Linked DNA regions of Xenopus tropicalis. The protein of the gene in region 2 binds, or shares a complex with, the protein of the main gene of each other region. Links are inferred from orthologs where the notes say so. Each region holds a gene or a part of one and is shown on either strand. Other genes may lie near its edges.

The links.
Region 1: ddx46 (region 2) and sf3a2 share a complex: the UniProt entries of both Homo sapiens proteins name them as parts of the 17S U2 SnRNP complex. The link is inferred for Xenopus tropicalis from reciprocal best matches to the Homo sapiens genes DDX46 and SF3A2.
Region 3: ddx46 (region 2) and sf3b4 share a complex: the UniProt entries of both Homo sapiens proteins name them as parts of the 17S U2 SnRNP complex. The link is inferred for Xenopus tropicalis from reciprocal best matches to the Homo sapiens genes DDX46 and SF3B4.

Annotation. Positions count from the first base shown.
Region 1 is NC_030677.2:102,623,168-102,627,511, forward strand, and holds the end of sf3a2 (splicing factor 3A subunit 2), read right to left. Parts: intron 4,250-4,344; coding exon 4,203-4,249; intron 3,678-4,202; coding exon 3,568-3,677; intron 3,100-3,567; coding exon 3,050-3,099; intron 2,676-3,049; coding exon 2,535-2,675; intron 2,271-2,534; coding exon 2,202-2,270; intron 1,241-2,201; coding exon 617-1,240; 3' UTR 522-616; downstream 1-521. UniProt on the Homo sapiens protein: Component of the 17S U2 SnRNP complex of the spliceosome, a large ribonucleoprotein complex that removes introns from transcribed pre-mRNAs.
Region 2 is NC_030679.2:26,202,457-26,206,105, forward strand, and holds part of ddx46 (probable ATP-dependent RNA helicase DDX46), read right to left. Parts: intron 3,609-3,649; coding exon 3,471-3,608; intron 1,814-3,470; coding exon 1,711-1,813; intron 1,451-1,710; coding exon 1,285-1,450; intron 1-1,284. UniProt on the Homo sapiens protein: Component of the 17S U2 SnRNP complex of the spliceosome, a large ribonucleoprotein complex that removes introns from transcribed pre-mRNAs.
Region 3 is NC_030684.2:128,887,619-128,892,027, forward strand, and holds the start of sf3b4 (splicing factor 3B subunit 4), read right to left. Parts: upstream 2,810-4,409; 5' UTR 2,774-2,809; coding exon 2,740-2,773; intron 456-2,739; coding exon 327-455; intron 1-326. UniProt on the Homo sapiens protein: Component of the 17S U2 SnRNP complex of the spliceosome, a large ribonucleoprotein complex that removes introns from transcribed pre-mRNAs.

The DNA.
Region 1 (4,344 bases), on a different chromosome or scaffold from region 2:
TCACACACGTATTTGTGCAGAAAGGCATGTTACAAATACCTCCTTGCATTCAGAAAATATTAGTGATGCCTTTACTGCCAAGCTTTGTTCGAGATGCTGGGAGGTTCCCGCATTTTGGCCAAGCTAAGACCTTGAGTTCACTGTGGGATGCGCATTCCCAAACTGTGCTGTCCCATGTTTTTAATTTTTTTTACTTTGCAAAATGAATGGGATCCCTCACAGCTTATTTTTAGAAAGCCACCCCTGTGAAACTCTCCCATACCTTGTCCTTGACAACTCACAAAACCTCTATTGTGGAAACTCTGTCAGGGATATTGCTGGAATAACCAATGCACCACTCTGTAGTACATATTAAATCAGGAATTCCCAGTAGGATATTGCAGGCCTCAATCCATTTGCACAGAATGCAAAACAATGCAAATATGTTTTGTTTCAATTGACCATGCAAATCTTTGTTATTATAGCTTTGCTTCCTGTAACTAACTCTACTACATACACACAAAATGAGAAACCACATTATATTATTTCAAAGGTGGGATTTTTTTTTAATGATTTAAAACATACCACAAATAAAAAAAACTGGGAAAAATATGCTTATCTTTGAAAAAGAAATACATCAGTTGGTGGGAGGGGGTGGAGGAATATTTGTTGGTCCATCGCTAGGTAAAGGTGGCCTCATCATTGGAGGCATAGGGCCAGGTGGGAGAACACCAGGTGCTGGAGGTGGTACACCTGGCGCTGGTGGAGGAGGTACCCCTGGGGCAGGAGGAGGTGGAACCCCTGGCGTTGGAGGGAGTGGCACACCAGGTGCAGGGGGCGGAGGCACTCCTGGGGCAGGTGGTGGGGGTACACCAGGAGGAGGAATGCCTGGAGGAGGAATGCCTGGAGGTGGAACACCAGGTGGAGGCACAGCAGGATTAGGAGGTGGTGGTACACCAGGTGGTGGTACGCCAGGAGGAGGAAGAGAAGGTGGGGGCACAGGAGGGTGCACCCCAGGAGGAGGAACAACTGGGGCAGGTGGAAGCTGTGGTGGCGGTACAGGAGGTGCAGGTGTCCCAGGTGGCATTGGGGGCATAGGCAGTCCTCCTGGAGGAGGAGGCGGCATATTCTCAGGCATTGGAGGACGTGCTTGTATCCCATTGATGGCTGGAGGAACAGGTCTTTTAACACCAGGTGGTGCTGGAGGCAAAGTGGGTGCTTGTGGAGGCTTCTCCATCTTAAAGTGGAACTGTAGGAAAAACTGAAAGAGAGGGCAAAGGAAAAAGTGTTGAAAAGGTCACATACTGTAGCTCCAAGCCTTTACAAGGTAATCCAGAAGTATTCAGAAATGTGTAGAAAAACTAGAGTGTTACCAAACGGTTTCCGGCAACATTTTTTCGTGTGGATATAACCTTAGCCTTACACTATGATGATCTGATATTTGGCACTATGACTGAGGATTTTTTACAGTGGGGATATTTGTTATTTAAAAATGGAGTGGTGATGTAATCCATTTCAATAAGGGGTACATCACATTCAAATAGTTATTTAGTGTTTTACTTTATACAGTTTATATCTGGGAAGTCCTATATTTGGCTTTTTTTTTTTTTACATTTAGGCTTAAATACATTATGCTGCAATTTTCTCCATTTAGTGCCTATGCCTGTGGTAACTGGTTATACCCGGTGGCTGTATGTAATAATAAACAAAGAATATACTGCCTTTGTTGCAGTTACTACTAACCTACTACAATGTTGTTTAATGGTGATTGTGTATTTGTCTGATATTTATGCATTATTACCTTAAAGACAGGACTGGGGGGTTATTTATTGTTCCTTTATGGCTTTTTACTATACATTTATTTAAATAATATAAAAAAAGAATATTTATACACACAATGTTAAACCTCAGCCTGTTTGGCATTTAAAGAAAAAAGGGTAGGCAAAACTATTAAATTAACTATCCCTATGGCATACTGCAGGACTGTAGGTGTTTTGCCACCCACCCCTGTATAATTTGCAGCTTGGTGGGCAGCTTGTAACTGCCCTTCCATAGACTTTTATAGTGATCACCTGGGCACTGCGTACACAATCACACGTCAGGCAATTATCTTGTCTTGGAGGAAATATGCAAAATGTGCACAAAATGAACACATGTAATTAAGACTACTAGGGTACATACGTGAGGGATCCCCCTTTTGCACAAGATGTATTTTATATTACCTGTTTTGTCTCTCTGTTCCAATGTGTCCAAAACTTTCCCTCCACTTTGTCTATTTCTCGACTTGGGACCTGTTGGATAAAAGAAAAAGTGCTGTAGAAATTCCACAATTGGATACATGGATAAAATAATTCTTGTCAATTTTCAGTAGGTTAGTGCAGGCTGTACTAAAAATATGTCATTTTGCAGAAATGGTGGGTGTTTGGTACGCCTACTGAATCGTATTTGAAGAATATATAATTGTGTTATAAGGTGAGAAGGGTTTTGTATGTGCGAGTTTTTCAAAGTTATGGTTTCAAATGCTAGAGAAAGGCTTGCTCTATAGCTTATCCTACCTTAAAAGCAATAGTTTCATAGGGCTCTGCAGCCATCAGCAGGTACTGCCATCGTCTGTCTGGGGGCTCAATCCTCTGTTCGTATGCAGACATAAAGCGGTGTCGGGGCATGATACCTTCAGCTATCTCAGGATAGTCAATCTGCAGAGAAAGAAAGACAGGGCTGAAGCATCATTACAGCATGGGCACCCCTATAGCATCTGGAGCATCATTGACATATTGGTTATTGTTTTAGGGGTAACATTTATGACAATACTTGTTGTCATCAGTAATATAGAATTTTTTGTAATACAGGTATGGAACCTCTTATCCAGATTGCTTGCGACCCAGGGTTTTCTTTAAATCAACCAAATACAATTGTTTTGTCTCCAATAAGTAACAATTATATTAGTTGGCATCAAGTACAAGGTACTGTTTTATTATTACAGAAAAAGGGACTTTGTTTTTAAAAATCTAAATTATTTGTTTAAAATAGAGTCTAAGAGAGATGGCATATCAGTAAATCACATTATTACCTGAAACAACAAAGACTGCTGGGCCATTTCTGGATCTCTCTGCTTAGTCACTAGAAAATAAATAAATGTATGGCTTTATTATCAGTCAGTGAAATAATATCATTTACTCTTTCACATTCAAGATACAGGGCAGAAACAGCTGCAATGCTGAGTGGCCAAATCAATATCAGTGCAAAAAACATCACTAATGCTGGAAACATTTGCTAACAGGACTTCTAAATGTTTAAAACATTCTAACAGCAGCAACAAAAGGTAGATGAAAGTGTGACTGCATAATTCTGACATCCATCTGAAAGCACCTAGTGATATACCTGCACTGATGGGTGCAGAGGACTGTTGCAAGCAGATGATTAAGCCAAATGTTAGCATAACCAGTCTTCAAACAAAAAGATAGGCTATTAAATGTAAGGGTAATCCACATGTGACTGAGGATACCAAAAAAGATTATTATGTTGGAATCAGGGTTATAAACCACTGCATTCATATAAAAGACATATTGACACAACACTTAATCTCACCCTTGTATCCAGGTCGACCAATTTTGACAAATTTCTTCACTTCTACCTTTACTTTTTCTGGGGCAGGTTGTGCTGGTGCTTCCTTTGCTTCTTTGGCCGCTCGGCGAGCTCTGATCAAAAGGAAAAAAAAAAGTAAGAATGTCTGCAACTGTTCACAAAATGATCTTTAATAAGACAGTGCCAGAGAAATCAGTACAGCAATTTGACACAACTTAAAATGTTTAAAATTAAGGAGAATTAACCATTCCTCTGCCACACCTCTCGATCTGAGAGGTTAAGAGAATGGAGAAAGCCAGAACATTAAAACCTATGGCTCTGGCAGTTACTCCCTTGACTGCAAACACCATACCTTTTATGATCTACCTGCAGCAAGCGGTTAATAACTGTAGATGTTGTGCACAAACCCTGACAAGATGCATGGAGGACTGGTTTTGGTTGGAATTAAAAATGGGTTGGGTGGTTTCCTTTCCTACAATTATCTGTCAAGTTTGGGTTTAGGAAGGAATTCCCACCACAACGTTCAACTGAAGTACAGTTTGGGGGTGGCTATGTTTACATTCTTTAGATAAATAATGGAAACTTTGACTTGACATTGCTGTGTTTTTTAATGCATAAAATCAGCACATTTAACTTACAAATTTGTCTGATGCTTTTTTCCTTGTGTATGAGCCAGATAACTCCCCTACAGAAAGAGAAGATACCAACAATGAATGGAGAAGCAAGTGGCATTTTTGAGTAAATACATATCCTTTCAGTTAGTTGCATATGTACTTGAAA
Region 2 (3,649 bases):
CAGTGCCCCCAAACCAGGGAGTTATTTTTGAATTCCTGACTTGGGGGCAAGTTTTGGTTGAATAAAAAAGGGAATTTGCTACCAAATAAAGCCCCTGTAAGCTGATTATGTGCATAGAGGCTGCCTAATAGCCAATCTTAGCCCTTATTTGGCTCCATGAACTTTTATGATGCTTGTGTTGCTCCCCAAGTCTTTTTACATTTGACTGTGGCTCCCGAGTAAGAAAGGTTGGGGACCCCTGATATAAACTATAGTAGTCTTTCTAAGGAAAACACACTAGTTGTACCAGTACAGAGCAGCATTACATTATATAGTAATTACTTTTATACACTTTCATTTTTTTGTGTTACTGTCCCTTTAAATACTTTTCTGTTGGCACAGACATATGGGGGTTAAACCTAAACAGCAAAGGTCGGACAAAATAAAAAAAATTCTGTAGCTCCTCCTTTACAATATATCTAAAGGGCTCCTCTGACAAGGCAATTTCTAGTAGCAAAGTCATAGGAGAGGAGGGAAAAGAGAAGTACAGAAGAGCACATACATGAAGCTATAAAAGAAACCAGGGAAATCAAAAGCATCTTAGCCCAAATAGGAAGTTGTTGCAGGAGTAAGGTCATCAACACTAGGTTGCTTTTAACTGCCTTTGGTCAGTACCATAATTTTTCTTTCTATCTAGTTTACTACCATATTTATCTTGTTGTGTAGATTACCTTGGAAAATCAAGATGGTTCTGTTAAGGCCCTAGTAAATATTCTGTTTTAGAAAAGAGCTCAGAAACAATCGCTTCCCTCCACATTGAAAATTAGAATGGAAAAGGATACTAAAATGTCACCCTCCAAAACTTGGAATCATAGGTAATCCAAGACTCTATTGACACCCAGTCGCCAAAGTTTAGGGTCAAATACTATTGCCAACCGTATGAAAGAGAAATTTAAATCTTTTTAAAAGGTCCTCGCTACAGGACCCTAGAACTAGTTATTTTCTATACCTACAGCTTAGACATGCTACTGTGAGTGGGTTCCCATAACCTCCCAATCCTCAGATATCTAAACATTAACACACACAGATCTCTCGGGCCACATATCTTTAATACATGCTATAATGAATAGGCAATCCCATTTTGCAAGATACCAAAGTGATATACCTCAACTGGACATTCATTACTTATTCTCTGTGAACAGCAGCAATGATATCCCCAAACATTTTATATAGTACACGATTAACAAAGCTTCACAGATTTTACTAGGTCATTTTTTTTTAGCAGATTGAAAACTTGACACTTACCATCATCATCTTCTAAGCTCCATTTTTTCCCTTGTCTCATTTCTTCAATTTCTTTTTTCAGCTCTCCAATGCTTTCCACAACTCTTTTACGTTGCTCTTCTCTCCACTTTTCCACCCTCTCTTTGCGTTTGCGCATTTCTTCTTCCAATTTATTTTGATCAAAATTCTAAATACAGAGAGAAAGGCAGAGTTAATGAAACTAGTTTCTGCTAGTCTAGAAAGAAAAAAAATATTCAAATCAAACCCACCAGAAAGGGCTTTTGGTTGAAATGTGTTTCTTACCATAAAACAGAAAATACATTTTATCACTTACTACCTCCCCAACTTTCCCTGAAAACTTAAACATGGAAATATTTCTTTCTATCCTGAACTTTTTAAGTTCAGTAAATACCAATGAATATTCTTATGTCTACTTAACATACTCACACTAACATCCTTCTCTTTTTCCTTTTCTTCCTCTTTGTCATCCTTTTCTTTTTTCTTCTCTTTGGATGCTTCTGTGCCATCTGTTTTCTCTTTAGATTTTGATCTACATTATGGAAAAATGCTGGTGTTATCAAAAGAATTCAGAATTGTAGAACAGAGCCAAAAGTTAAAGGAACAGTAACACCAAAAAATTAAAGTGTATAAAAGTAACTAAAATATAATGTGCTGCTGCCCTGCACTGGTAAAAGTTGTGTGTTTACTTCAGAAAGTCTACTATGATTTATATAAATAAGCTGCTATGTAGCCATGGAGGCAGCCATTCAAAGGAGAAAAAGGCACAGGCACTTAGCAGATAACAGATAAAACACTATTGTATTCTACAGAACTTATCTGTTATCTGCTATGTAACCTGTGCCTTTTCTTCTTTTTTCCAGCTCGAATGGCTGCCCCCGTGGCTACACAGCAGCTTATTATATAAATTATAGTAGGGTTACTGTAGCAAACACACCAGTTTTACCAGTGCAGGGCAACAGTGCATTATATTTTTATTACTTTAAAGCGCTTTAATTTTTTGGTGTTACTGTTCCTTTAAAACTTTGCCTATGAACATAACTTCATTTATCACAGATACAGCAAAAGTAGTGGTTTTGAACCATTTTCCAGGTGGGCCTCTGATTAAGCCTGGAATAGCATAATAATTATTATATCATTAGCATTATAATTGTTTTAAGGGGATACTAGACACCCACCCAAAAACTGCATCTTTGGATCCTGAACCACAAGATAAACAAATTGTAATTTTTTTTTTAAAAAAGGCATTAGAAAGAAGAGCCACTTTGCTAAAGCAGTTTTTGTTTTTTTTTATACAAAAGAAGAGCTCCTCCAGGCGATGAGGCGGGTAAGAAAAAGGTACCCCCTATTCGGACTATTACATAACCTTAAAAATAATATTTTTTTTATAATGAATTAATGTAACAATACATAAAAGGCATCAGATATTGAGTAAAGGTTGAGAAGTTAGGCTGGCAAAACAGTCAGGTTTAGAAACTTCAATTAACAATTACTTACAAAAGCAGCTATCAGTTAAAATCAATGACCTATAGGTAACTTTAAAGGAGAAGGAAAGATCAAATCACTGTAGGTGCCAAAATGTTAGGCATGTCAGAATGTATTGAATTCACTTATACTATACCCCGGGCTGGAGCTCCTATTAGCAAAAAAAAAAAAAAAAAAAAAAAAGCACTGGGCCAGGGTACATGCAGGCTACCAACCCTCTTCCGTCTTCTTTCTTTGTACTGGCTACACATGCGCAGTAGAAGAAATAAAGGAAGGAAGAGGACCACACCCCGGCTAGTGCGATTTTAGGGGCCTTTGGCAGCCCCCAGTGATTTTAACTTTCATTCAGTTGAAAGTATAAATACACCTTGCCTCTCAAGCTATTCTGAATTGTCATTGCTGATATGTAAGTTGAGTCATTTTCAAGGTATGCTGTTTATGTTTTTACAAAGGTTCCATCAGTTTGTGCTACCTGGCCAGCCCTCCCCTGGGGGAAAAATTTGTCTGAGCCCCAGACAACAGTCCCCCCCTAATAGTTGTCCTGATGATGCAGCAATTTAGGGGGAGAAAATAGCTAGAAGGTTTGAGGAGATTTTAAAACTAGGCATGGGTGGGGGGTAGCAGTATGGATCCTGTGGACAATAATGGATCTGGCCATAATAATTGGGTATGGAGTCAGTTTGCATTTAAAAGGATAAACAAACCTTATTTCTTTCTTGTTTTTGCTTGGGCTGGCTGAACGGGACCTTCTGGTGCGGCTCTTACTCCTGGATCTCCTACGTTCTCTGCTGCGAGACCTTCTCCTTTCTCGACTCCTTTCCCGCTCCCTGCTTGGCCGGCGTCTAAAAATAAGGAATAAATACTTAACACGTGTAGATATTAT
Region 3 (4,409 bases), on a different chromosome or scaffold from region 2:
CAGGCAAATGGGAAGAGACAGTGACCAAGTAGATATGTTGCTTTAACCATGATCAAACGATGTGGAAACTATTGCTTCCCGCACACAGAAACCCCCAAAATACCCTGTAATCTGTTCCTTCAAAAAGCATGAATAAATACCATTTTTATATGCTGAAATCCAGCTGCAAAACAGTTCTTCTCTTTCTGCATCATTTGAAATCCTGGCAGGGGAGGAGGGACTAAAACATTCTTGTTACAAATTGCAACAACTTCTCCACAGCATTCCCCTCCATTCCTGCCTATACACAGCTATAAGAAATAATGGTTAAGAGGTGCCAATCTTACCTTGATGCTGCCCCGTGACCCTGTCTTTGGGCATGTGTGTATTCACTACAGGCCCTGCTTGCAAGAAGAGCTCCCATAGAAGAGGCTCAGACACCTTTTCATCCAGGCCTCCGACATACACTGTGGCATCTAAATCCAAAAAGAAAAAAAAAAAAAGTTATAGTACACGGCAAATCAGCTATTCCACCTTCTCTTTAAATATCCCCGTTACACTCTGAATAAATGCACAGATCATAGATCCGAGGCACTGTTGCCCTGAACTGGTAAAACTGGTGTGTTTGCTACAGTAACACTACTATAATTTATATGATAAGCTGCTGTGTAGCCACAGGGGCAGCCATTCAAGCTGGAAAAGAGGAGAAAAGGCACAGGTTACATAGCAGATAACAGATAAGTTCTGTAGAATACAATAGTGTTTTATCTGTTATCTGCTATGTGCCTGTGCCTTTTCTCCTTTGAATGGCTGCCCCCATGGCTACATAGCAGCTTATTTATATAAATTATAGTAGACTTTCTGAAGCAAACACACAGCTTTTACCAGTGCAGGGCAGCAGCACATTATATTTTAGTTACTTTTAGGGCTCTGGCACACGAGGAGATTTGTCGTCTGCGTTTTTTCCCCCTGGCGCTTTGGCGACAAGTCGCCACGAGAATACCCTCAAAGAGATTTCATGCGAGTTGAGCTCCAGGCGATCTGCTACCCATGGTACACTCAACAGTTAACCCCCCTCAAGTCGCTCAGAAAAGGGTCTGTGTGCGACTTGAAACAGCAGGCGATCTGAAGTAGCCTCGTATGTTTTGACGCTGGCAATTTCCATTGATTTAGCATTGGTGTCTTGTCGCCAAATCGCTCTTTTAAAAATCGCCGGCGACAAATCTCCTCGTGTTCCAGAGCCCTTATACACTTTCATTTTTTGGTGTTACTGTTCCTTTAATCCTTGTAATACAAACTCTCCTTGCTACAGGGTTTAGCTTTCCCTTTACAACCCTGGAGATATCCACCTATAAACCCGAAAGATAACGAGAGAAAGTTTTCATCAACTTTCCAACATATATATATACCGTATATACTCGAGTATAAGCCGAGTTTTTCAGCACTAAAAATGTGCTGAAAAAGGAACCCTCGGCTTATACTCGCGCATATACTCGCGTATATATACGGTAAATGGTTTCGCAGCTGCTCGTTGCATGCGAACCTGCCTGCACACCTGTGACGTAGCGGAAGATAGCGCTCGGACTACCGCCAGATAGCGAAGGACCCGTTCGCGGACTTTATTGAGGTTGTCCCGCAACTCTAAGGACCGGCCAAACAGCGCCAAACTCCCGGACCGTGGTGTCTTGTTGCTGTCGGGTGTGCTGCTTATTGCAATAATTGTGCCGAGAGCGCTCTGTTTCTTTAACCCTTGTCACACGGCAGCTGGCGAGGCGATTACATGACGGCTCCTTGCAGACACACAGGTTGGAATTAAGAGGAGCGCCGCCGCTTATTTAAAGAGCAGCGTAAATGCTGGGCTTACGGATCCTCTGGCGCTGCTGACAGGGCACACCGCAAGGTACCGCTGCTTCACTTGCACACCGGGAGTTGCTTTGGGTCTCATTGAAATATAGCAGGGTGCTGGGTGGCCATTCTGTGGGTGTCTCATCCTTGTCTTGTCGGGCACTGATGTCCCAAATCGCCACCATGAGATAGAACAGCTTTGAGGTAACCTATTGTTTCTCCTACTCCCATGTAACTGGTCGGCTTATACTCAAGTCAATAAGTTTTTCCAGTTTTCTTAGGTAAAATTAGGTACCTCGGCTTATATTCGGATCGGCTTATACTCGAGTATATACGGTAATAAAAAAAATCAGTGGTTCAAAGGTAAATGCTATTGCTATTGGAAGTAGTATCTATCTGCCCCTTTCTTATTCTTGAAACCATTTCATAGTTTAATAGCCCTGGCCTTTGTTACATTGTTTCAGAAGTCAGAACCAGCAGTGTAGACTATAATAAGACAGACGGCTTTCGCTAACAATTATATTTTGCAAGAAACTTTATAAACGTTGGAAATGTGTAATGAATGTATATAGGGAGGCTGCTTAGCATTAGTTCTGTGCATTATACACAGTGTTTATGGGGATAGCACTATAAACTGTATTGGTGGGGAAGAAGCAGATCAATGTTTCTGTGTAGATTCAGGTACAGTTACAGGCCGGGCTGCCGATATTATAAGAACAGCTTTGTGTCCAAATGACTTTTGCACAGAGATGGAGCCTGCACCTCATGCACACAGTGCAGCCCGCCTCCCCCTGCTCTGAGCTCTTACTGTTCCCTGTAAACCCCGGATACCCCTACTTCCAGCCCCCCCGGCATAACAGTTCCCTCCGCCCCAATCACCCCATGCAGCCCATACGCAGTCTGTACGTTCCTTACCCTGGTTCCGTTCAGATATCGGCCCAGCCGCCATTTTCTCGCCGCCAACCACTCAGCCACCTCGCTGCTTCAGTTTCCGCTTCCCTACTTCCGGCCTCAGAACGCTTACTTCCGCAACCACTTTTTTTTTTTTTTTTTAGATGGAATAACTTTATTAACATGCCTTATGCAGTCAATGCTTTCCGGCGGAGATATTTGTATTGTAATGAAACCCCAAAGCTAAAAGTAAACGTGTAGTAAACTCTGAGGGGGTTATTTATTTATTTTTATATTTTTTTAAGATTTTACAGTAAATGTGCCAGTATTGTCAGCGCATAGAGGGTGTTTCATTGTTTCTATGGGCACCAAGGATTATTAAAGGGTCCCTGGTGTGAGCTAAGGGTGCAGACACACGGAGCTACTAGTAGCAACTACTTGTAGTCGCTACTTAAATAGACAATGCTGATCATTTACTGATAACAGTCTCAATGTGTTTTAGGGCTCTGGCACACGGGGAGATTAGTCGCCCGCGACAAAACTCCCTGTTCGCGGGCGACTAATCTCCCCGAGTTGTCATGACCCGCCATCCCACTGGCAAACATGTAAGTCGCCGGCGGGATGGCACACGCGGCGGCGCGATTTCCCAAATCTTTTTCGGCGATTTCGGGAAATCGCGCCGCCGCGTGTGCCATCCCACCGGCGACTTACATTGTCGCCGATGGGATGGCAGGGGAAGGCAACTCAGGGAGATTAGTCGCCCGCGAACAGGGAGTTTTGTCGCGGGCGACTAATCTCCCCGTGTGCCAGAGCCCTTAGCAGAGGGAATTCTCAGTATTGTCTATGGCAGGGGATTTTTTGGCGTTTAGTAGCTGTGAAAAAGTAGCTGCTACTAGTAGCTCTGTGTGTCTTCACCCTAAAGGAACATACAAGGGTCACATGTAAAGACCAATGCTCCTCCCCTTTTACATAGAGATGTCTGTTGGTTGAGAATTTAGTGAGACAAGAAAGTCTTATTGGCCAAATAGTAGATTTGACTATTGTGTCTGATGTATATTTTTAAACCTTTAATGTTAAAGGTAACTGAAAGCCTGGTGAATGCCTTGGTACCAAAAACTCCTTGTTTGTTGCCCCTGGATATAAAAAGCAGACTGGTGGAGCAGTAGTGAGGGGAGCCAGAGCAGCCCAAGATGGCAGCTGCCAAACCTGCACTTTTCTTCTTCTAACCAGATACAACAACTAAGCAGGTTTGGGGGTCCCTGTTGGTGGGGTTTAGGAAGGGACAAAGGTACTAACCAGGCTTTTATTCTCTTTTATCCTGATTGTACACAGGACAATGTAAGATGACAGTTTGGTTGGCCTCCCCAGTATAAGCTGGCAGCTTTGACAACATTGTCCCATAGTCCTAGGTTGTGATACAGTTGTTGGATCATAACCATCTGATCAGTTTGATTTTGCCCAGTATATGGGTTATAACTACTGATTTTTGTGGGACAGTACTGATTTGCTGCCCCCTACCCACCAATCAGGATTGGCAAATGTCTTGATCTTGCCACGCCATTATGCATGACTTGCAAGATGGCACTGCAACATAGTTTAACTCCTCACATTATATAAAGTGCTGTACCCAACGGAGCAGCGGAGGAGGATTCATTGCTGTGTCTGCACAGGGGTTTTGGAGTGGGTGATGTACC